3 linked regions of the Caenorhabditis elegans genome follow. The protein of the gene in region 3 purifies or fractionates together with the protein of the main gene of each other region. This does not show direct contact. Each region holds a gene or a part of one and is shown on either strand. Other genes may lie near its edges.

Region 1 (9,462 bases), on a different chromosome or scaffold from region 3:
AATTGCCGGAATCGAAAATTTCCGACAAATCGGCAAATTTGGCGAAAATGAAAATTTCCGGCAAATATGCAAATTGCCAAAAATGAAAATTTCTGGCAAATCGGCAAATTGCCGGAATCAAAAATTTCTGGCAAATCGGCAAGTTGCCGGAATCGAAAATCGTCAATTCTTGCCGATTTTCCGTAAAATAAAATTGCCGTCCACCGCTGAAAAGAGTTACAGTACCATTTTTTGGGAAAAATTTGGTATTATTGCAAAACCTGGCAATTATCGATTTTCGGCCGGATATTTTTGAATTCAAATTTTATTTAAAAAAAATTATTTTCAGCCCAAAAAAGCTGACCTTTTGGGATTTTTCCAAAAATTTCGTATTTTCGATGGAATTTTTCAGAGTTTTCAGCTCAAAAATGCCAGAATTTGAAATTTGCTGTCAGATTTTCTAGAAAGTTTTTCTTTTTTCAAAAAGTTTGGTGCAAAAAATCAAATTTTTCTAAAGAATTACCCCAAAAATCCCAAAAAAAAGTATAAAATTACAGAAAACCAGCAAAAATCGGAAAAATTCAATTGTCAAAATACGATATTCGAGCAATTCGGAAGCTGTATGGACAATAAAATATGGACATTTCAGTTTTTTTTTTTTAATTATAGCTTTATACTAACAAAAAAAACAGGTGGAATTCAATTTTAAAAAATCAATAAAAACTCAATAAAACAACAAGAAATGCGGGAATCCTATCTATTGAACTGATAAATAAAATAAAATAAAAGATTTAAAAAATGGAATTCTGATGGGAAAACGACTAAAAATAGAGAAAAAACAATGGAAATTTTCCGCTTTTCCGGCTTTTTTCAATGAAAAATTGAAAAAAATCGGCTACTCGTCTGGTGTGATGTTGTCGAAAATTTGGCGTACTTGTTCGTCCTCCTGAAATAAAAAATACAAATTTTCTCAAATATTTTCGAAATATTCTGGATTTCTTGAAAATTTCTGATATACTGTTGAAGTTTTTTGAAATTTTATGGAATTTTTTGTAATTTCTTGGAATTTATTGAAAATTTCTCATTTTTGAATTTTTTGATATTTTTGAAATTTTCTGGAATTTTTAAACATTTTCTGGAATGAAAAAAATTCGAATTTTCTTGAAATTTTTTAGATTTTTTACGGAAATTTTCTGGAATTTTTTAGAAATTTTTTCTGAACTTCTTGAAAAAAAAAATTTCTAGAATTTTTTGAAATTTCATGGAATTTTTTGATATTTTTGAAATTTTCTGGAATTTTTAAACATTTTCTGGAATGAAAAAAATTCGAATTTTCTTGAAATTTTTTAGATTTTTTACGGAAATTTTCTGGAATTTTTTAGAAATTTTTTCTGAACTTCTTGAAAAAAAAAATTTCTAGAATTTTTTGAAATTTCATGGAATTTTTTGATATTTTTTGGAATTTTTGCGAAAATTAGCGGATTTTTCAGAAAATTTCTGGAATTTCTTGAGATTTCCTATATTTTTTGGAAAAATTTCTGATTCTTTTTAGAAATTTTTTCTGGAATTGAAAAAACATTGTCGAACATATTTTTGAATGTTTGAACTTTTCAGAATTTCAGACATTTTTTAGGAATGTTCTGAAATTTCAGAACATTCAGAAAAAAATTGAAAATGTATTGAAAAAATGTCAAAAATTGGAAAATTTCAAAAAATTACCATAGAATTCCAAAAATCTTTCGAAAAATTTTGGAATTTCCAGAATTTTTCTAAATTTTCTGTATTTTTATTAATTTTTCTGGAATTTTTGAAAAAGTTTTGAAATTGTCTGGAACTTTTTTTTTTATTTTCAAACATTTTTTTTAGGAATTTCCTGGAATTTGTTACAATTTTCTCAAATTTCTTGAAAATATATGGAATTTTTAAAGAATTTTTTTGGAAAATTCCTGAATTTTCTGATTAAAAAAAACATTTTCTGATGCATTTTAGAAATATCTGAAATTTTTTGAAATCTTTTTGGAATTTTTTGGAAAATTTCGAATTTGTTGAGATATTTTTTGAATTTTCTCATTTTTGACATTCTTTTCAACACATTTTCGAATTTTTTAGAAATTTTCTGCAATTTTTTGTAATTTTTTGGAATTTTTGAAATATTTTAGAATTTCTTGGATTTTTTAAAGAAATTTGTGGAATTTCTTGAAATTTCAAATTTTTTTAAAATTTCTGAATTCTTTGAAAATTTCCGGAATATTTTTTTGAATTTTCTGGAATAAAAAAATTGTCTAATATATTTTTTTAAGTTTTTAAATTTTCTGAATTTTTTAAAAAATTACGGAATTTTCTACAACTTTCTCTGCAATTTTTCTCGGTTTTTTCAATTTTTTTTTTGATTTTTTGTCCAAAAATCTTAGTTTTTTCTCGAGTTTTTCCCGGAATTTTTAGTTTTTCCAGTACCTGAAGCATTTCATACAACTTCTGAACCTTTGGCTCCTCAGCTTCAGGACAATCAATTGGATGAACAGGTCGGAATTCAATTTCCGACTGTAAAATCGAGAATCCACCCTTTCCGAGGCCGTTTTCAAGAGTTTGAAGTGATTTTGCATCACAAATTAGTTCGAATTTCTTCGTTGAGTCCTCTTCAATCAGTAAAACCTCTTCAGCATCGAATTCCAGACCGATTTCTTCCATCTGAAACACAAAAATCGATGAAAAATCCAAAATTTCACTAATTTTCGAGTTAAAAACCGATTTTCCTGGTGAAAATCACGCCGGGAGCTGTTTTAAAATAAATTTTACGTTCGAAAAATCAATTTTCAGTCGAAAAATCGTGTTTCTCGTTATTTTTCACCCCAGCTAGCCGATTTCTAGAGATTTTCTGTCATTTGTCGTAAAATATGATGCCTAATCGGTGTTTGCACGTCTAGAGCTACAGTAACCCAATAAACCTCAAAATTCAGCTAGAAACCCAAATTCTTCACTATTAAGTACGTTTCTACCTAGTTGGATAAAACATTTCAATTTTCTTAGATTTTCTGCAATTTGTCGTAAGATTCGGTGCCTGGTCAGTGTTTGCGTACTTCTAGAGCTACAGTAACCCAAAAAACCTCAAAATCACCGTTCGAAAAATCAATTTTCAGTCACAAATTTTGAGTTTTCAGTCTAAAACTGAGATTTTTCCGTTTTTTTAGTTCTTTTAAGCCGAAAACCTCCGATTTTTAGAAATTTTCTGCATTTTTCCGTGAGATTTGGTGTATTGTATTGGGGTACGGTAGTCGGTTTTGCGTACTTTTGACGGTACAGTAACCCGTTTCTGAACGAAAATTCTCAATTTCTACGTGAAAAACTGAATTTTTTTCATTCTTTGCCAATTTTTATTGAGAAAATCGCGCATTTTCAGCGAATTTGACCCAAAAATTAAGTTTTTAAAGATTTTTTCGAGAAAAATCTAGTTTCAGCTGAAAAACTGCGCATTCTTATAGAAAAAATCGTGTTTCTTGTCATTTTTCACTCTGGAAACCTCGTTTTGCGAGATTTTCTGTCATTTGTCGTAAAATATGATGCCTAGTCGGTGTTTGCGTGCTTCTAGAGCTACAGTAACCCGGATAATTTCGAAATTTAGCTAGAACTCAGATAGAAATTATCTTAGGCAGAACGTAGTCGATTAAAGTTAAAATTCAAATAAATTCTGCAATTTGTCGTAAGATTCGGTGCCTTATCGGTGTTTGCGTACTTCTGGAGCTACAGTAACCCAATAAACCTCAAAATTCAGCAAAAACCTCAGACAAAAACGGTTTCAGGTTGAATTAAGCCGCGTAAGTCAAAATTACAAAAAAATTCGCAATTTGTCGTAAGATTAGGCGCCTAGTCGGTGTTTGCGTATTTCTGGCGCTACAGTAACCCGAAAAATCTCAAAATTGAGCTAGAACTCCGATAAAAAGGAATCCAGGCAGAAATTTGCCGATTAAAATTGAAATTCATATAAATTCTGCAATTTGTCGTATCCAAGCCGGTGTTTGCGTATTTCTGACGCTACAGTAACCCGGGTATTTCAAATTGAGCTGAAATATCAGATAAAAATGCTACCAGGAAGGAGAAAAAAGAGCATTATTCAAAATTTGAGCAAACTCCGCAATTTGTCGTAAGAATCAGTGCCCAATCGGTGTTTGCGTACTTCTAGAGCTACAGTAACCCAAGAAACCTCAAAATTAAGCTAAAACCTTAGATAAAAATGCTTTCAGGTAAGAATTAGCCGATTAAAATTAAAATTCAGATAAATTCTGCAATTTCTCGTAAGATTCTGTGCCTAATCGGTGTTTGCGTACTTTCGGGGCTACCGTAACCCGGACTTTTTTAAAATTGAGCTAGAAACCCAAATTCTTCACTATTAAGTACGTTTCTACCTAGTTGGATAAAACATTTCAATTTTCTTAGATTTTCTGCAATTTGTCGTAAGATTCGGTGCCTGGTTAGTGTTTACGTACTTCTAGAGCTACAGTAACGCAAAAAACCTCAAAATTGACCTAGAAACTCCAAAAAAAACGCCGTTAAGCTCCAAATTTTCAGGAAAAAACAGAATTTCAGCATAAAATCGCCCGTACTTCTTCAATATTCAGAATTTTTCCGCCTTTTTTCGTGTCAACATGCACAACACCCTTCTCCTCGAACCAACTACGAACACCACCATCAGCTGCCAACCGGAAACCGCCCAACTTGTTGAAATACTTCCGTAAATCGTTTTCAAACGCTTTTTTGTTCGAAGTTTCGGCGGTTACGATAAGGAATATTCCAGATGGTCCAATGATATCGAACGAGTATTCTACTTCGGGCTTGTCCTGCAAAAATTCGGGGGATTTTTGGAGTTTTTGTGGAAAAATAGACAAAATTTTGCGGTTTTTAGGTTAAAAATCAAGTTTTTTCACTCTTTTTTGCGAAAAAAATTGCATTTTCTGCGATTTTTCATCATTTTTCCTCATTTTTTCACTATTATACCTTCATTTTTTGCAAAAAGTTCTTCAACGTGTCCAGTGGAAGTCCTTGTGCTCTGAATTCGGACTCCAAATCAGCGAGTTCTCGATTGAGCTTCATGTCGAACCCGCCACGAGATACTGCTCCACGGACCTGGAAAAAAAAATCGCTTTTTCTAGGAATTTCTGAGCAAAATTTCAATTTTTCGTATTTAAACTCCATTTTTTCGTACTTTTTACGCCGAAAACCTAATTTTTTGAAATTTTCGGCTTTTTTTCGTAAGGTGTGGTGTATTGGGTACGGTAGTCTGTGTTTGCGTACTCTTGAGGCTACAGTAACCCAAATTTATGGATTTTCTGCAATTTGTCGTAACGTGTGGTGTACAGGGTTACGGTAGTCCGTGTTTGCGTACTTTTGTTGCTACAGTAACCCAAAATCTTGTATTTTTGAGAAATCTGATGGGAATTGTCAATTTTTCTGCAAAAAAATCGTAAAATCTTGGTGTTTGCGTACTTTTGTGGCTACAGTAACCTAAATTTTTCGGATTTTCTGTTTTTTTCCGTAAGATCTGGTGTACTGGGTTACGGTAGTCCGTGTTTGCGTACATTCGGGTCTACAGTAACCCAATTATTTGGATTTTCTGCATTTTTCCGTGAGATCTGGTGTATTGGGGTACGGCAGTCAGTGTTCGTGTACTTTTGGTGCTACCGTACTAAAAATCGCTGGATATTCATGGTTTTTAATCGAAAATTCGCTTTTCTCGGTGTTTGCGTACTTTTGGTCCTACAGTAACCCGAAAACCTACCTTTCTGAGTAAAAAGTTGGTTGCCTTCGACCGAATCAAATCATTTTTTCCCTTCACCGCCTTAATATTCTGCCATTTCGAGTGCCCCTTCTGCTGAAAAACCGTCAAATGCACAGCTCTCGCCGGCTGAAATTGTTGGAGCTTCTGCAATTTCTGAAGCTTCTGGAGCTGGAGACCCGTTGTGGTGAGCCGACGGAGCGGGGAGAACATCTGCAAAAAATTGGGGGAATTTTGAAATTTCAAGGGAAAAATCCCGGAAAAATCGATATTTTCAGGTAAAAACTACCATTTTAAACCGAAAATTGGCTGAAAATCGGAAAAAAAATTGAAAAACCGGTGATTTTTTTCAAAAGGAGAACGAAAATTATGAGATACAATTGAGAACATTTTCAAAAAAAAATTAATAAATTAATGGAGGAAAACTGGTAAAATATGGTAAAATACGAGGGAAAATTAATAAAAAATCGGGGAAAAATTGAGATTTTCCATGGAAAAAATGAGAAAAAAAAAGAGCATTTTCCAGTGAAAAATCTAGAAAATTAGCAATTTTAAATTTTAAATTAATTTTAAATTAAGAAATTCAATTTTACGGTCAAAATTCAGAAATTTCGCTGAAAATTCCACATTTCAGTGTTTGCGTACTTTTGGGGCTACAGTAACCCAAAAATATTCGAATTTTTGAGAAAATTCACTGAAAAACGGACATTGTAGTGTTTGCGTAATTTTGTGGCTACAGTAACCCAAATAATTCGAAAATTTTGAGAAATTTCACTGAAAATTGCGCATTTCAGTGTTTGCGTACTTTTGGGGCTACAGTAACCCTAAAATATTCGAATTTTTGAGAAATTTCACTGAAAAACGCCCATAACAGTGTTTGCGTACTCTTGGAGCTACAGTAACCCGAAAATATTCGGATTTTTGAGAAATTTCACTGAAAAACGCCCATAACAGTGTTTGCGTACTCTTGGAGCTACAGTAACCCAAAAAACTTAAATTTTTGCGAAAATTTACTGAAGAACGGGAATTTTAGTGTTTACGTACTATTGGGGCTACAGTAACCCAAAAATTTGATTTTTTTTTGAGAAATTTCACTGAAAAACGCCCATAACAGTGTTTGCATACTCTTGGAGCTACAGTAACCCGAAAATATTCGGATTTTTGAGAAATTTCACTGAAAAACGCCCATAACAGTGTTTGCGTACTCTTGGAGCTACAGTAACCCAAAAAACTTAAATTTTTGCGAAAATTTACTGAAGAACGGGAATTTTAGTGTTTACGTACTATTGGGGCTACAGTAACCCAAAAATTTGATTTTTTTTGAGAAATTTCACTGAAAATTGGCTTAAATATCAATTTTTAGCGATTTTTTTTGTTTTTCACTCATTTTTCACGGTTTTTTCTCAAATTTTTACAAATTTTCCATGAAAAATAGCTCAAAAATCAAAAAAAAAATCTAATCAACATATTCAACAACACGTTCAAATCTCTTCATAATCTGCGAATCGTGAACCATTTCCTTATCCAACAACGAAACACCCAGCTGATGCTCCTTTTCGAATGGCTGAGCCATTAGTGTGAGCCAACGCCTGGCAACTTGTGCCGCTTCGTCAATGCTCAGATTGGTACAAGCTGGCTCCAGGTATTCCTGCATCCAGCGGGGCAATTTTCCACGTTTGTCGTTTCGGGAGAATCTCTGAAGAAAATTACAAGTTTTGAGGGGAAACATGGAAAATTTGGGCAGAGGTTCCCCGGGAAAGTGGTCAAATGTGCTCTCTGTGAGCAATTTCGGGTGAAAATTCCAAATTTTTGCATATTTTTATGCTAAAATTTGAAATTTCCACACAAAAATCACCGACATAACACATTTGCCACGGAAAATATTTTTCAAATTCTCTAGAAAAATGGGCGGAGCATCACAAGCCACGCCCATTATATGGTCACTTTTCAAAGCTTCAAAATTTTGAATTTTGAAAATAATTTCGCATTTTTAAGCGAAAATTTTCAATTTTGGGGACGAAAAACTATATTTTTTGCGATTTTTGGCAGATTTCTAATAAAAATTTCAGAAAATTGGGCAGCTGGTGAAATTCTTCGTATTTCTTCAATTTTCCGCTATTTTTTTCAGCCAATTTCAGATTTTTTCAGAGTATCTCTACAATTCAAATCATTTTCCGAATTTTCCGTCCAAAAAAAAAATGAAAATTTGGGCAGAGGTTCCCCGGGAAAGTGGTCAAATGTGCTCCCGGTGAGCAATTTCGGGTGAAAATTCCAAATTTTTGCATATTTTAATGCTAAAATTTGATATTTCCGCACAAAAATCGCCGACATAGCACATTTGCCACATGGTACATCAGAATTTCAGCGCATTTCAAGCTGAAAAAAATCAGTTTGAAACTATGAACATTAGTGAACTTTCGATATGTTTTTAACAAAAATCGTGGAATTTTTCTACCAAAATCCAAAAATTTTTTTGAATATTTTTTGCAGCTAAAATGGAAAAAAAACTTGCTTAGCTTTTCAGGTTTTTTAGTGAATTTTGTGCAAATTATTTCAAAGTGTTCTGATTTTCCAGTGAAAAAAATCAATATTTAGCTTTTTTTTCAAATTCTCATGCCACGCCCACAAAATGGACACATTTTTTGTTGAAAAATTGCCAAAAAATTTTCAAACAACTTTTTCTGGTTAAATTTCGTGATTTTTTAATCGAGAATTTTCTGATTTTTCTGATTTTTTTTCGGGAAATCGATAAATCTCTTTATTTTATACCTTATCAGCAAATACCATCAATCCGTAATCAGTTTTCGAACGGAGAGCTCGTCCCATACATTGAGCAGTGTGTCGCATTGCGTCAAATGTCAGAAAATCATTTTCTCTGGAAAAATCATCAAGTTTTGGTAGTTTTTAGGCAATTTTTTCACTAAAAACTCCAAAAAATGTTAAAATTTCATTTGTTTTGAAGCTTTTTTTTTGCAAATTTTGTCGTGAAATCTGGTGCGCGCTGGGATACGGTAGTCGGTGTTTGCGTACTTTTGGAGCTACAGTAACCCATAAACTTCCAAATTGACTGAAAATGCACAAAATTCGAGTTTCTCGTGATTTTTAATTCCGGAAACTCGATTTATAGGGATTTTCTGCATATTGTCGTAAAATTTGGTGTGCTAGACGGTGTTTGCGTACTTTTGGAGCTACAGTAACCCATAAACTTCCAAATTGACTGAAAATGCACATAATTCGAGTTTCTCGTGATTTTTAATTCCGGAAACTCGATTTATAGGGATTTTCTGCATATTGTCGTAAAATTTGGTGTGCTAGACGGTGTTTGCGTACTTTTGGAGCTACAGTAACCCATAAACTTCCAAATTGACTGAAAATGCACAAAATTCGAGTTTCTCGTGATTTTTAATTCCGGAAACTCGATTTATAGGGATTTTCTGCATATTGTCGTAAAATTTGGTGCGCTAGACGGTGTTTGCGTACTTTTGGTGCTACAGTAACCCGGAAAGTTCTTGGAAATTGAATTTTAGGTGAAAATTCGCGATTTTATTGAATTTTTGGCTGAAATTCTCATTTGAACTGTAGAAAATTCCTACTTAATTCCAAATTGATCTCTCAAATACTCCAACCGGGCTCTGAGTACTCGGCTCTCGGTGTACATATACGGAATTCCAAGCATTATAACACATCGACCTGAAAAATTGAAATTTTTCGGTTTT
Region 2 (5,203 bases), on a different chromosome or scaffold from region 3:
TGAACGATATAAACTGGACAATTAGCTTGAGCAGCCAAAACGCAAGCTCTATTGGTGGCTTCTGCTTCAATCTGAAAATCTCCGTAATCGCTTTGACTGATCTCATCTAACAAATGCCATTATTTTTTAATTGTATTTCTTATATGCTCTGTATAACGATTAAATTCAAATGTGAACCGGAGGTGTATGCACTCAAAAATGTTTTTTAATTCGACAAATTGGTAATCTAAAATTTCTTATAAAAATAATAGTACGGTTGAAACATATTAAATTGCTTCAAATCTCTTGAAAAGCAACTTTGTCAATTTACCAAAATTTGTCTGAACAATTTCAAATTCTAAAAAGAATTTTGAAGTGTTTAATTATGATATTCAGATATTTTTGGAATGTTATAGGTGTATTCAGTTATACCACTTGCTTTAATTAAATATGAGTTACCTCTTCTGGTCTACTCTGTGTATGTCCTTCAGGCCCAGTAACTCCTTTTGCCAATAAATCAATTTCCTTTTCTTTAATCACTGAACCATTTTCACAATGAACTCTTGCCAATGCTCTAAGTTTTGCACATTCTTGCATTCCTCTGAATAATTCATCATCTCTGACCATTAGTGTGTTCTCATAAGCCATGTAGAATTTGAACGAATTAACTCCTTTAAATAAATTAAATTTGAAGATTTTTGTTTTTTTGAAAATTTATATTTTCAGAATCTAATTATATTCAAACTTACCAAATTCTGGACTTGTAATAATTGCCATTTGTTCAGCAGTTTCTGGTCTCCACATTGTGATAGCAACTGATAAACCATAATCACAACACACTTTTGGATCTGCCCAACTTCTCCATCTATTGTAACCAGCAATCAATGACTCCCCATTTCTATGATCCGGACAACAGAAATCAATTATCTGAAATTTAACCTTTTCTATTCATTTGATCTTCAGATTTTCTAAACCCGCCAGTTGATGGGAGAAATATGACCTTGGCAAAATGTGAGTGTGATTTATCACTTGGTTAACAAGGATATTTAATATAATAATGATCTATGTTATAATTCGATTACTTTAATTTCAAAAACAGAAACGCGAAATTATAAAAAGAAGGATTTTTGCTGACTTTAAAAATAAATAAAATTGTCAAAAAAAAACCTTCAAGTTTCTGTACTTCGAAGTGTTCTATATCTTTTGATGTCTATACAATACAATAATTAGAAATAAATTTTGAAAGCATTTTATTATTTATTCTTGTTCGCGGGTTTGAAGAAAATCTGAAAACTAGATGAAAGTGGGCATCCGTCTTTTTCGAAGTCTTCAAAAAAAAACGGTTGTTCAATTTAAACGGATACTAATAAAATCTTGGATCCTAGAATAAACATTTTTGTTTAATGGGCACAACGGTTTGCCGCATTTCCTGAATAGACCCTCAATTTTGTAGGCAGGTAGGCAGTCACATCTATGCGATGAGCTTATAATTTAATCAGTAAGTCATCTCACCATTGTAGTTCCTCCAGCAACTGCTGCTTCTGTTCCTTTCAAAAAATCATCTTTTGTCACTTCTCCCATATATGGCATTTGCATATGTGTATGAGGATCAATACCTCCAGGAATCACAAGACGATCTGTTGCATCAATTACTTCTGTATCTGGTAGAGCAGTTATATTTGGAGATACTTCTCTGAAATCGTTTTTTTTTTCAAAAATTATTTGGTAGAATCAACTTATTGGCGGATTTCGATTGGGGGGTTTTTTTTTAAATTAAGACCTCTACTAACTAACTTATGTCTCAAATGTTTAGTATATTGCCAAATATTCAAAAAGAAATTGGGGTTTTCACAAGAAATTTGTAGCAAAGAGCAAACGTCTACAGTGTTCTGAAACAAATAATTAAATCATAATTGAAATTAAAAATCGTAGAACACTTTTCAGTTGAATACCAAAATTATGATAGATGAAAACTTAGATATTAGAAAGAAATTGATACTTTTTTAGATTAAAAATTCAAGAATAGTTTCTAAAAAATGTTGAAAAGTTTTCCTATTTGAGCGTTATAGGAATAATCATTTTCCTCAGAGGCGCAAATCCATCTTCAAGAAAGAGATACCTAGATAAACTGAATTACAGTATATTTATTTTATCACTATCACCTAATTAATTTAACTACTTAACTTAACTACAGTTTTTACACGCATTCTTCTTGTTTGAACTTACACAATAATTCCATTTCTAACAAGAACATCAGCTTTAAACATTCCATCTTCATTGACGACAGTTCCATTCTTGATAACAAGTGGTGGGGACATTTCCGAATCTCTTAAATTAGACAAAAAATGAATTTTCTTGACGAAACACAAAAAACTTTGAAAATGAAAAAAGAAATCTTGATTTTGGGTGGAAGGAGGAGACTGATTGATAATAATAGTTGTGATAAGAAAGATAAAAGAAGAAGACGTACCCGGGGCGTGTGATGATAACGTACCCAGATTGATATAGACGATGTTAAAATCACGTTTCTTTAATCGGAAGTGAGAAGAAACCATATGGCATGATTGAAGATGGTACGGTTAGTCTGTCCAGTTTTTGTTCAAAGTTTTAGAAATTATTTGGTAAATTAGACTAATTGACAAACAACAACTGAAATATTCGCCGATTGTGATGACTTGTTGAGAAAGATGTGTGATCAACGTGCTGGAGTCTTCACAATGAGCATGTTCTACACATATGCCATCCGTGCCGCTCTTTTCTATTTAAAGCTTAAGCTTCAATGTCTGAACGAGAATGGAAATGAGGATGCTCTGACAAAGGTCCCTTTCCTGACAAAGAAAACTAAATAGCTCTGTATTTCAATTTTTCTTTCCTACAAAGAATCTTTTACTGTCTCGATTGTTTATTGAAAGCATCCGTTGCACTTCAAACTCAATACTTCAAAATTCGTGAAATTTGAAGTATTAACTTTGAAGTTGTAATTAAACCTTTCCACTCCCAAATCCAAGATAATCGTTTTCAAAAGAAAATTTTATTCAAGGTAGAATTATATATGAAAATATCCCCTTTTTGGTCTCGCCACGAGTTTCTTCAAATTTCAAATGAAGCCTGCTAGACAGTCTGCGCCTTTAAGAAGTACCGTAGTTTCCATGGATCGTTGTTTCGCAATTGTTATGGCTTATTTTCCCGTTTTTTCTTTATTCTTCATAACTTCATGGTATTTTTTAACACAATTAGTTGACCAAAAATAAAGAAAAAACGAGAAAAAATAGATTCAACATGAACTGAATAAATATTTAAATTTAAATTAATTTTCACCGTTTCATCTTCACAGTATGAAATTCTAGAATTCGAATACTATGTTTAAAAATTATTTCGGAACGTATTTTTTATTTCTATGTAGAAAATACCGTACTAGACCTGTATGACTAACAAATTTCTTACTAATTTTCAGTTTGATCTACCCCGCTTAATGAGCGAATTTTGGTTGTTATTGTTTTCAATGATTTCGATTTTTACTTCACAATCGCATTCCAACAAATCAGTCTTCACTAAAGATGCGTTTTGTGTTCATCATTGCTTTGCTGCTCATTGGAGGTTTGTTTTTCACTTGTATTTTGAAATTAAATTAATTGTAACAAATTGCAGCATCTCTCGCTCACCCAGCCGATCCGATCCGTGCCAAACGTGATGTTTCCGCCAGTGAAGATGAGTTCAGCGGAGATTCATCTGGAGAAATTTCTGGCGAGAGTTCTGGTGAAGCATCTGGTGAAGCCTCGGGAGAAGCATCTGGTGAAGCCTCGGGAGAAGCATCTGGCGAATCATCTGGTGAAACTTCCGGCGAGAGTTCAGGAGATGAGGAAACTTCCGGCGAAGGATCTGGTGAAGAAGGATCCGGTGATACATCACCAGTCGTTCCTGTCGACGAACTCACTCTTCAACAGTTGGAGACACTCAACACGTATGCTCAACAAGTTCAAGCTGAATCACAGAAGCTCATTCACCAAGCTAACTTCGTCATCACTGAGGTTAGTTTCTCGACCCCTTTTAATTCAATATTTTAAATCTTTCAGATGACTGCTCTCTCTGCTAACGCTCAAAACCTCGGAATCCTCTCGAACATCGTGCTTGCCAACTCTCAGATGGTTCTCGACAGTGCTCGTCTTTCACTCAATGAAACTGAAACCGAAACCGGAACATCTGCACCAGCTACTTGCGTCTCATCTGCTGTCTGCTATGGAGATTCTGGATGTGGAAGTGGAAAATGCATTGGAGCTCTTGCCGGAACTTGCAACTGTAACTCCTGTGTCTTTGGATGGCCGTAAGTTTTCAATTTATTTCGCAGCAGATTTTAAAATATTATTATTTCAGATGCCAAGAGGACAGTGCTTGCGGAGGATTCAACGGTGCTTGCAACAGCATTACCGCTACTTGCGATTGTTTTGCTGCCTACACCAAGAACAATCTCACTCTGGCCGAAGCCCTCACTTCGTTCTGCAACGTGGAGACGTGCAATGGAGCCGAAGACAATGTCGAGAAGTGCCACGGATTGCCATGCAACTATGGATTCTGTGTTTGCTAATTGACCCCATCTTATCGGCTTTTTTTTATTTTGCCCAAATATATTGCACACAAGTTTACGGAATGAATAAAAATTTCATGATTCTAATTAACTTCAACATTTGAAATGAAAAAAATCAAAAAATCACTTGGAAAATAATTGGAACAGTTCTGGTTCGTCCATAACCGTCGTGTTCTCGATTTGTTCTGACATTCGGATCAGTTCCATCAAATTCGATGGTTTATGAGAATTTATTAATGGCCATTCAGGAGGTGGCTTTAGGTATACTCCATTCTTCGAAAGCATATGAGATCGATCAGATGAGAGCAAGGATATGTAGTTTTCTCCTGGAATTACACGAAATTTTCTGAAAATAATTATTCAAACTGAAGAAAAAGTGTTAAAGTGTAGCAACCTTCTGAATTTAGTGTCACGCTGAGCCATTTCTGCGAGATTCATAGTTTTTTCCCAATATTCTAAGAAATCACAACTCCATTCGAGTGTAGAATCCAAATCGTAGACTTTTGACCCGTTTTTTTCCTTTTCAATAGCAATGACGTGATAATCCCAGAGAACATGACCACTGTAAAAATAAATTATGAAATCATGAAAATTCTTTGATTTTTATTTTATAATTAATAACTTACTTGATACTTTTAGCAG
Region 3 (10,362 bases):
TCTTCATAAATTTCTCAAAAAACTTTGACACATCGGTGACACTCAAAATGTGCTGAAAGGAACGAATTTTTGAAATGAAACTTCTCAAAAGTATTTCAACATTTTTTCTATTTCGGTTAAAAATTTTTGCTAAAAACTCCAGTTTTGGCCGCTTTTCCGTGTCGCATTGGTCGGAAGTTGACTTATCATAAAAATTCATTTTTAGTCACCTATTGACTTTAAATGTCTCTCAATCAACGAAATAACGTGTGATAAACTACCAAACTATGCGATAAAGGATGATAATTTAAAACAAAAGGTCAACTTCGGACCTCTGCAACACGGAAAAAATGGCCAAAATTTGAGATTTTAAGAAAATTTTTTTCAAATTTTTAACCCGCCATTTTGAGATGTTTCATTATGCAATTCATTTGAAAACATTTCCAATCAATACATTCTATTTTAAAAACTTTATATCACTTACCAAAAAAAACACTTTTTGTTTTTGTTGTTATTCTATCTATTGATCTATCATCAATTAGAATGGACAAAATAAAATAGTAAACGCTTCCCACCAGGCACTAGATATTGCTTAATTTGTTGAAAATTGGGTCATCTCCCATCGGAATAGGTCTTTGAAGATTGAGAACATTGTTTGACTATTTAGACGATTAACATCAGCTAACCTAATGAATTTATTATTTGATAGAGAGAAGAGGAGGACGCGCTGACAGCTAAACACGGTGCCTACATGATGCCAAACTACTATGACAAGGGGGCTGGAACTATTGTGCCATACAACTACAACACGTACGCTGGATATGGTGGCTACCCATATTACAATCAATACAACACTGCTGGCTATGGATACATGACTTATGGACGTTAAAGAGTGTTCTTCATATTGCAAAGAAGCCCTTTATTCTAAATTTTTATAGTACTCAATCAAGAAACGACGAGGTCCATCACGAATATTCTCACCAAATTCTATGTTTTTTTTGAATGTCAGAAGTTTTATTCTAGCCTTTTCTTGGAAAGTCTAGACTTCCAGTAATCCTCTTCCTCTTCCACTTGCCAACCAAAAATTGTTGCCGTTTTGTGTATGTGTGTATCGCATTTGTCACAGTTTCCCCATAATGTACCTAAACTACTTAATAATGTTTTTTTCTCAACTTTGTCATTCTGAGTTTAGTGTTTTCTTGTTCTGATTTTGTTGGCAATCCCCAATCCGTTTTATGTCCGTCTTCTCATTTTTGTACTGCCACTCCTTGTTTGAAATTATCGAGTTTGGATGGAAGACCCTTGGTGCTCCTTTTCCCACTTGTCTTATTCAAAATGCCATCTGCCCCCTTTTTTTGTTCAGTTCGTTCAGCAAGCACAATGAATTTAAAAGATAATCGATACTCGAATATGCCACACCTCAGTTCCCATTTAATCATTTCACTTTTTCATACTTTTAAATATGTGAAACACTTTTTTTCAGTTCATACCAAAGTATCTAAATAAATCAGTTTGATTGTAAGAAAATGATTCAATAATTTATTATTTATGACAACATGCGAACGTCCAATATATCATTAAAAAAGCAAAAAAAAGATTTTATTCAACGATTTTTATACTTTAATTTTGTTTGTATTACTCTTGTTAAAACATTTTGTGGTCGGAACATGCGGCATTGCTCTGAATTTCCTTCAAAGCAATTTTTTTAAATTTAGCATTTTATCAAAATTTTGACTGAAAACTTCCATAAATGTAAATTTTTTTGGAACATTTTATTATGATATTCGATTTTTATAAGTGTATTTAGACAAAACCCCTACCTGCGCTACTTCAACTTTAATAAATGTACGCTAAAATTATTCGATCAATTTGTTCTCAAATTTCCTGACCCAAGAAGTTTTCAATTTTTGCTTCGTCTCTCACAATTTTATTGGTGGACGGAAACAAATACTTATGGGTTGAAAAATGCGACATATTTTAAAATTTGTTTGAAAGTAATATTTAATTGTTTTGTGAAATTGACAATTTACCAAAACTATGACAAATATTGCTGAAGGTGGTGTAGCACCAGTGGGGAAATTGTTTCAAAATACATATGAAGCCAAAATGAACAAGTATCATGGTAATTTTTTGAATCTAATTTTTATATGATTTTAAATTGGAAAAATGTCTGTTTTTGCCACCTTTTTGGAAGTTGTCGATCAAATAAAAATTGTTTATTTGATTTTTATGCTGTGATTATTTTTGAATTAATATTTAAATATTGCAAGGATTAAAACATGCGACATAACTAAAGTTTTCTCAAAAAGTGGCAAAAACTCGGTCTTTTTTGCCAGTTTTTTATAGTCAATAAATTCTTTTTTCTCTTATGAAATTGTAAAATTACAGACGCTGAATATTTCAAAAATCAAGAGGGTGTTTTCTCCATTTACCTACCAATGATCAAACAATTTTCTTAGCTCACGAATGAAATAGTGCACAAAGTTTTTATTACATTCATTTGCCGAAAAAATTGAATACCATTGGATGTTATGAGTTTCGGAGTTTGAAATTATGCTCAAATTATACTATAGGTTTTACAGAAATCAGAAGGTAGCACAAAAACATTAACAGATGGAAGATGAGTGCAATCAGTGGTAGAAAAATGAATTAAATTAAATTTTGGTACCTATTGGTTTGTACCATTTGTTTTTGAGAATACTAAAACTATTACGTTTTAATTTATTTAAAAAAAATCATCTGCTAAAAACATTGTTAATTGCCGGATCAAAAAACAAAAAATTTTCGCATAAGAATTTTGATTGGTGAGCAGAAACTGAAAGCAACTCATTACCGGTTGTGAGTACCTACCAATCTGTCAGTAAGTTGCTTAACCTCCGCTTCCCATTATGTTTACCCTCTCGTTTGCGTTCACAATGTGTCGCAGTGTTTCTTGGCAAACTCTCGACTTCTTTCCGCTCACCGGTATTGGGGACGGTTGCAGAAGCATCAGCAGGCCCCCCCCGAGTCTTCAAGCCTTCATCGGAGGTACTGTTTGCTTTCAACTGGCACACACACACACACACACATCGCGTCTCGCAGCAGCATTCACTACAAACCTAGCCTGATTCCTAACCACCACTTAGCCTTTTCCCTGCCTCACCCAACTAGACTCGACACATTTGGCTCCCCTCATGTTAATGGCAAAAAGAACCGAGTGAGAATAATGGATCGAAATGTCAACTCGCCACGTGTACTTGCCGACCAACTACGGAGGTTTATTCAGAATCCGGATTCGACTCCTTCAGGTAAACATATATCCATGACAAGACGGGAGTGTATTCAAACTGAACACTTTTAAAAACCACCACCAAATAGGCACTTTTTTCAGGGAGCGGTATATCTTTATCAGATGCTGGATTTGTTTTGTTATCTTTAAAAGACCAAATTTTAGCGGACTCAATAAAGTAAGTAGTTTTGAATTTTTTGTTGGCGTTGATGTTCCAACATTTTCCAAGCGAACTTTCTTCACAAATTTGAAAAAAAGTTTGATTAAAATTTACAAAAATGACAGTGTTTTCTATTAGTATATTGGAGCGCAATGTTCAATTTTGACAGCTTATACCTAAGTTGTCGATTGTATCATTAAAATCAACTAGCAACTTACTAACAACTTATTTACAATGCAACAATGTCAACTAACAAAATATTTGTTAGAATTTTTGGTACATGTGTATTACATAGTTATAAAAAATTTAAGCGTGTACAGTGCATTTGATTTTTCACTTCTACGACTTTAAAGGAAGACGGATTTATGCGGAATGGTCTTGCCGCGCGTTTAGTCATCATTTTTAGCAGTTTCTGGGTAAAATTCGCGTAGATCACATGTATATCACAAAATATTTATCTCATATTTTGTATTTCTGTTGCTTTCAAATTAATTGTGCTTTCACGCGTGATCTACGCAAATTTTGAACAGAAACTGTTAAAAATGATGATTACGCGCGCAGCAAGACCATTCCGCATAAATGCGTGGAAAAACCAATGCACTGTAGCATATTTTTGAACTTTTGAGCTTAGGTAATAACCATTTTTAAGCCCAAAAAAATGAATATCACGTTAAATTTCAATGGAGAAAGGAATGAACATTAAGTAGAATTTTAAAATGAGGGCATGTAAAACACAAGTACCGGTTTTTTTTAAACATAGTTTGTAGTTTATCACTAATAGATATGTTTAAGACAAAGTGTGATATAACATTTTTCAATGCAAAAATTATTTTTAGAAACAGAAACAGTTTTTCAATTGTTTGTTCACATAATTTTAATTAATTTATAAGGTTTCTTTTACATTCATTAGCCGAAAAAATGCATTGTTTCAAAAACTAGCTAGTATTACAATTACTTCTTAAAAGAGAAAGGTTTTCCGTTGCTCTATTAGTATTTTTAAAAAATGCATTCCCTCAAGGAAAATTTATTTAAATTTTTTTGGCCATTTTTTCGTATCGTATTATCCATTTGGCGGTACCTCCCGCGCTCAACTTTGTGCACTCCCGTGGCCATTATTTAACTCCGACTGAGAAGTAAATACAACAGTGACCGGTTCTAAAACCTCCCACCCCCCCCCACGCACTGATAGCTAACTCCTCCGAACCACAATATTTGCTCCTGTCTGACGTATGCTTCCGACATGAATTTCAATTGTTTCCAGGGCTCAACATTTTTCGCATGAGTTTGTATCAAAGCCTATCAACGGGATTGAACTACTCGGAAAAGTGGTGATTGTTCTGCAGGGAATTGTGAACAGTGTTGAAGGATCTGGATCGAAAATTTCCTACCTGCTCAATAGAAATTCGACAAATGCCAATCGAAAAAGAAAGGCAGCTGTTGCTGAGGCCGATTGCATTGAAAGCATCAAACTGTTACTTGAGAAATCAGTGAGTGAAAATTTGTAAGATTCATGCCATTAACTATCACCTTGCATAGGAATCAACATGGAAGTCATTTCTCGAAACATCAACCGGATTGGATGCCATAATGTATTCTATTCATTCGCCTCAGCTGGACTCCAAATGTTACTCACTCGAGGTTGCCGTTTATCGTTGTGTTTGACAAATTAGAATATCGTTCTCTGCAGATTCTTCTTCTGCTACTAGAACAACCGCAAGGATTTGTGATTTTATTGAGGGCGCTGACTGTTTTGGCAGCAAGAAATCGGGACTATTTGAGGTTTTCCATATTTGTAGCACAACTCAAACATGGTCTTCATACAAAGAAACTTCACATTCAGGTCTAAAATAATACGGCGCATTTCGTAGATTTTCGCCATTTTCAGATCCTTGTGGCTAGACTTTTCAACAAGTTGATTGCAAGCGCACCAACTCCAGTGCACAGAGCACTTGTTAAATCGGAAGTGTCATTAGCCCAGTACAATCCAGAAGTTGTCGAAAAAGTAGGTTACCTATTGTTCGTATTCTGAACGCCAAATTGTTCCAGCTCATTGGATACCCGAATTCATCCTACGGCGGAATGGACACTTTGATCGATGAGTTGAACGCGTGGAAATCACTGAACCAATATGTTGGAGGGTCGGGACCCACCGTTGAGCATAACCACATTTATGGAACTTCTGAAGTGGACGGAAGCAGCATATCGGAAAGAAGTCGGAGGCATGCTCCAAGCTCCAAGATCATGGTAAATTTTCTGTTAGGTTTCATAGCATAATAAATTGCGATATGAGTTTTGTATTGTTCAAGATGTACAAAAAGATTTTAAATTTGTCTGCTTGCGTTGACAAAAAGTCATGTTGTATCTATCAAAATAGGTAAAATAATGAAAGGAAATTTTTAGCTTTCGCCGCGGTACGTTTGGTTATACGAAAAAGCCTAATAGAATAATTTAAACTACATACCCTTTTTCTTTTGAATCCCCAAGATAAAACGCTGTTGTACCCCGTTAATCTTGATGAAATTTTCAATTTTCTTAGAACCTCGGGTACTGCTCAAAAATAAATTCAAGCAGCTGATATGTTCAAAATATATGTTTTAAAAGTCCAACTTGTGTTATACAAATTCAGATTTTTTTTTACAAAAGTTCCAGCAAAGAAAAGGCATAATGAAAACTTCTCAAAAAAATTTTGAGATTTTTTATTTACTGTCAAATAGTGATAACTACTCAGTATTCTTTCAGTCATAATTTTGGAAGTCGACCAAAAAAATCTACGGTTTTTGCTCTTCATTTTTATTAAACTGCGTTAAAACAGAAAATTTGGCAGTTAAAAAAACTCTAAAAATTTTTGGATTGTTTTATCATGATATTCGATAGTTCTGGATCACTATAAGTGTATTTCGACAAAATTTCCACTGGCGCTATTCCACCTTTTGACCTATTAATAGTGATGAACCCTGAATGTGAATTCTTATTTTGTGGGCAAAAGTGCCGGAAGAAGGTAACTTATTTTATTTTATTTCAGCCAGTGACATCCGTCGTTAAAAACGTTGAACGTCAAAGATTCCGAAAGCAGGGTGCTGGCTCCGGTGGAAGAGCTGCCGGCAATTATTACTTTGAAGGAGGTGGCGGCCCACGCTTGACTTATGACCGAAGATCACAAACATTATCGCATGGTTCTTATGCTGGTAAGTGATTAAACATTGAAAATTCGAATTGATTTCTAAATTTTAATTTCAGAACCATCTTCTCCAATACCACCATCCAGAATGGGTTACGCCACCGAGAGAAGAGAGCCGTTCGGTGCGATGAGGCGAGCAAAAAGTGAAAGTGCAATGGTTTTCAGAGAAAAGTACGTAAAGTAGTATTGATAACAGCCGAGGTATACAAATTTTGTTTCCAGCAGGGAAGAGTATGAAAATGATTCTCCTGAAATGGCGCCACGCGGCTTGAAACGATTTGGCAATAACAGTCAAAAAGAGCAAGTCCATTATCACCCAATCCAACAAGTGAAAACCTTGTCTCGAAGCGTTCATGACTTGGCCATCCGCGACGATGATCCAGGAACACTACTTCGACCAGTTTCTGCACGACCACCATCATCAGCGTCTCGAACACCGTACAGAGCAGTGTCCCCAGTTCCAGTTTCACCAATTATAAAGCAAGATGCTGACATACCGTCTAGACGACTATCTAGTGCACTTTCTCCAAGAGCACGATTTGCGGATCCTCCGATTGTTGAGGCTCAGCATCCTCACGCAGGATTTTCATATTTGTTCCCACAACAGCCAGTTGTCAGTTCAGTGTACAACAAAAAAATGATGTCGCCGGAACCAAGAGAAGTGACTGTACGTTTTATTATTCAAAATTGCAAATGTTCCCAACTTTTCTTTATAGGTGAACTACTAAAATACGCCATAAAGGGCAAAAAAAGTGTATTCCAGCTACGGTGACAAAGAAAAATTAGCGAAATTTCAGATTTTAGGAAAATTGGGGTGTATGTTTTCGAAATTTTTTTTTGGAAATTTTTTGAGTAGTCTCATTATGAAATTCGGTCGTTTTGGTCCGGTATATTTAAGTTTGAAAATTTTCAGAGCTCCACATCAAATCGTCCTGTATCAGCGCCCCTGTACGCCACAGCAGGAAATCACGAAGGCTCCAGCCGGCCCCTCTCTCCTCTGGAAATTCAGAACTCAATGTCCGGAACTCATGATTTCGATATGCCAGTTGCATACAGTAATGAGAATGGACAAGTGGTGTATGTTCCGATTAATATTGAAAGTGGAGTCGGAGCCGGGCCACGGAGAGTGAGCAAAACGTCAAAGTAAGGAATATAAAAATTATTGTAATTTTGAACCACCAAAAAGTGACCGAAATTTAAGATTTTAGTTAAATTAGGCTTTTTTCGAAATTTTGAAACACCATAAAAATTCTTGAAAAATTTTTGAGATTCCCATTACGAAATTTGTTCTTTTGAGCACACGTGGGGTATAGAATTTTAAGTTCCCAGAACTGCCTTGAATGTGTAATTTTCACATTTAGGTTCGACTATACTCCAAATGAATCTCGCAGCAATAGTCGTGCAAAACTTCGGAGCCCAAGCATTAACGGTAAAATTAATACTTCATAGAGATTTTTTAATCATTATCATATAAACCTACCAAGTTTCAGGAGAAGATGTTCGTAATGCTCTGAGCCAGTTCGATTACTTGTATGACTATGAAGCCGACCAAAACCCAAAAAATCGCGAAGCCACTTATCATTTGTAATGAAACCGATTTGTCATAAATTTAACCACAGTGTATCCCGAAAATAATTTTAAATTTTAAATTTGCTCAAATATAGGCTTAAGACTTGTTCAAATTAAATACCTTTTTTTTGTATATTTAAAATAAAAATCTTGTTAACATATATATGAACCCTTTTTCTTTGTCTTTTTATTTTTCCTAATTTTATTTGCACGGTAAACCTCCAACAAATTGATTTGAAAGACATCAATGGGATAACCCTGAATCGATTGCGTGCAACCCAAAACAAGGCCATTGGAATTAGGAAACGCTCTCTCTCTCTCTCTCTCGCTCGTTTTCTTTCGCGCCGCCAACAATTTGCCTTGTTATCAAACAGTATCATGACCCCAACTTGATTAATTGGGGAAATATCATTTAGGATGCTTTTTATTATTTGACTATTTGTGGGATTTCGGAAAAAAAATAAGAAAAAAAAAGAATTGGCAGCGACAGTGAACTTGAGAATTTGAATGGAGAAATTGAGGAACACGGGTGTAAATAGAGTTGCAAAAATCAAAGAATTGAGCCTAGATACAGATTAAAATGAAGAATATCAAACATTGTCAAGGTTGAGCAAGATTTTCAGATGTTTCTGTAAATTGGCTGTGGTGGTGGTGCTTGTTCGTAGCTCCATGGTGGCCAAACAAATTTGAAGCAACAACATTGCACTCGATGGTGTTGCACCGGTCGAACCGGTCTCATATCCTGATGATATACCTGTGGCTGTTGAGTGATTGCACCACGTGAAGCTCCAAATGACGACTCGTGTCCTCCACCGTGTGACTCGTGATGAGATCGGTGATGGCTGCTTGATCGGTAGCCGCCACCTCCACTACTTACCACGCCTCCAGGTGGTCCACGATATGGCTGCACTGCTCCATACTCTTCTCTTTCGAAATCATCTCCGAATCCTCCTCGACCATATTCCAGGGCTCTGCGATCTCTCGTAGCTTGCTCCTTAAATCGGGAAGAATACGATTTTGGACTGTCACCCATTCTTCCATCAAATGATCTTCTAGGAACAAAGTCACGGTCTCTTCCGAGAGGCTCCCTTACTGGTTCCTGAATATCTCGATTATAAGGAATGTGTACATCTTGGCCTGCTTGTGGACGACGATCATCAAATCCATAAGGCTCGGCATCTCTGTGACGTGTTTGAGGGGACGAACGGAAGTCATACTGCGGATCACGACCAATGTCACGGCGAATAGGGATGACAACTCCACCATCATTAGGATATTCATTTCGATGAAACCCATCATCATGTCCTCGAAACTCTCTGGTGTCCAATGATTTACTTCTGAATATGAGAGAGCAATTACAATTTCAGTGAATCTTCTGAAAAAAAAAAGTTACCTGGATTTCAGATCAAGCCCTCGATTATCAAAATATGGTGCAGGTTGGGAAAAGCGATCTCCGTAGTCTTGGTCAACATTTGTTTGAGATCTGGATCTTAGTGGTGGGTATTCTCTGCCATATGCATGAACACGTGAATCAATGCCACCACGTGGAGTGATTTGTTGTGATCTCGAGTCACGGTAGTTCATGGTTCGATTCGAATAATCCGGGTTAGCCCCCGGCGAGAAACGACGATCGTAATTCATCGCCGGGAGTAGTGTTGACGATGAACCGACGTGTTTTTGTAGACAGCAAGTAGTGATGGATATATTGCGTTTTTCCCACAAAATAAGTCGGTCGTTCGGTTAGTAGAAAAGGCGATGCGGAATACGTGTATGCGTGCCGCCCAGAAACGCAAAGCGTCTACACCGAGAAAAAAAATGGGGTGGGGGAGTTTGGGCTGATTCACAAAAAGGCGACGGCGTCGGTTGGGCGAGTAGGAAACGGCGGAGAAAACGGGCGTGGCGCTTTCCTTGTTTCTCTTCGAGAACCATCGACGATAGCCACGCTAAAAATTTGTTTCTCGACACACGACGCCGCCTTGTGTTTCATCTAATTTCTGTCCTTCATTGAATATTAGCCAGTCCTCATGAAATTGTAATCAGCGGGGAGAATGTGAAGAGATAGAATGTTGGTTAACACCTATCAGTGACAAGTTGTTATTGATGACTGGCTATTAAAAGGAAGTAATCAGAGATCTGTCAATTGAGAAGCAAGTGTAGAGCGATTTATGGATTCAGTTTATTTAAATTTATGATACTCATGAGTTTCGT

Evidence for each region.
Region 1: the proteins of F53B3.3 (region 3) and taco-1 fractionate together in Caenorhabditis elegans (co-fractionation; one large-scale study listed by BioGRID). This does not show direct contact.
Region 2: the proteins of F53B3.3 (region 3) and cpg-3 fractionate together in Caenorhabditis elegans (co-fractionation; one large-scale study listed by BioGRID). This does not show direct contact.

The regions. Positions count from the first base shown.
Region 1 is NC_003281.10:280,614-290,075, reverse strand, and holds taco-1 (Transcriptional regulatory protein), read right to left. Parts: upstream 5,960-9,462; coding exon 5,750-5,959; intron 5,098-5,749; coding exon 4,969-5,097; intron 4,812-4,968; coding exon 4,578-4,811; intron 2,668-4,577; coding exon 2,434-2,667; intron 926-2,433; coding exon 875-925; 3' UTR 613-874; downstream 1-612. Other genes in the region: Y50D7A.13 (Peptidase metallopeptidase domain-containing protein), read left to right, coding at 537-612; xpd-1 (General transcription and DNA repair factor IIH helicase subunit XPD), read right to left, coding at 7,203-7,442, 8,516-8,621, 9,340-9,436.
Region 2 is NC_003279.8:7,241,457-7,246,659, forward strand, and holds cpg-3 (Chondroitin proteoglycan 3), read left to right. Parts: upstream 1-3,509; 5' UTR 3,510-3,536; coding exon 3,537-3,576; intron 3,577-3,627; coding exon 3,628-4,007; intron 4,008-4,052; coding exon 4,053-4,300; intron 4,301-4,350; coding exon 4,351-4,561; 3' UTR 4,562-4,646; downstream 4,647-5,203. Other genes in the region: dhp-1 (Dihydropyrimidinase 1), read right to left, coding at 1-71, 439-650, 729-906, 1,492-1,672, 2,206-2,297; R06C7.6 (Protein N-terminal glutamine amidohydrolase), read right to left, coding at 4,685-4,907, 4,956-5,123, 5,188-5,203.
Region 3 is NC_003284.9:2,863,883-2,874,244, reverse strand, and holds F53B3.3 (CLASP_N domain-containing protein), read left to right. Parts: upstream 1-3,107; 5' UTR 3,108-3,184; coding exon 3,185-3,266; intron 3,267-3,349; coding exon 3,350-3,425; intron 3,426-4,499; exon of another isoform or gene 4,500-4,668; coding exon 4,669-4,894; intron 4,895-4,943; coding exon 4,944-5,045; intron 5,046-5,094; coding exon 5,095-5,247; intron 5,248-5,292; coding exon 5,293-5,409; intron 5,410-5,453; coding exon 5,454-5,651; intron 5,652-6,429; coding exon 6,430-6,592; intron 6,593-6,644; coding exon 6,645-6,756; intron 6,757-6,807; coding exon 6,808-7,252; intron 7,253-7,498; coding exon 7,499-7,728; intron 7,729-7,946; coding exon 7,947-8,014; intron 8,015-8,075; coding exon 8,076-8,173; 3' UTR 8,174-8,331; downstream 8,332-10,362. Other genes in the region: F53B3.5 (Conserved plasma membrane protein), read left to right, coding at 689-868; F53B3.6 (RNA-binding protein 6), read right to left, coding at 8,774-9,491, 9,548-9,795.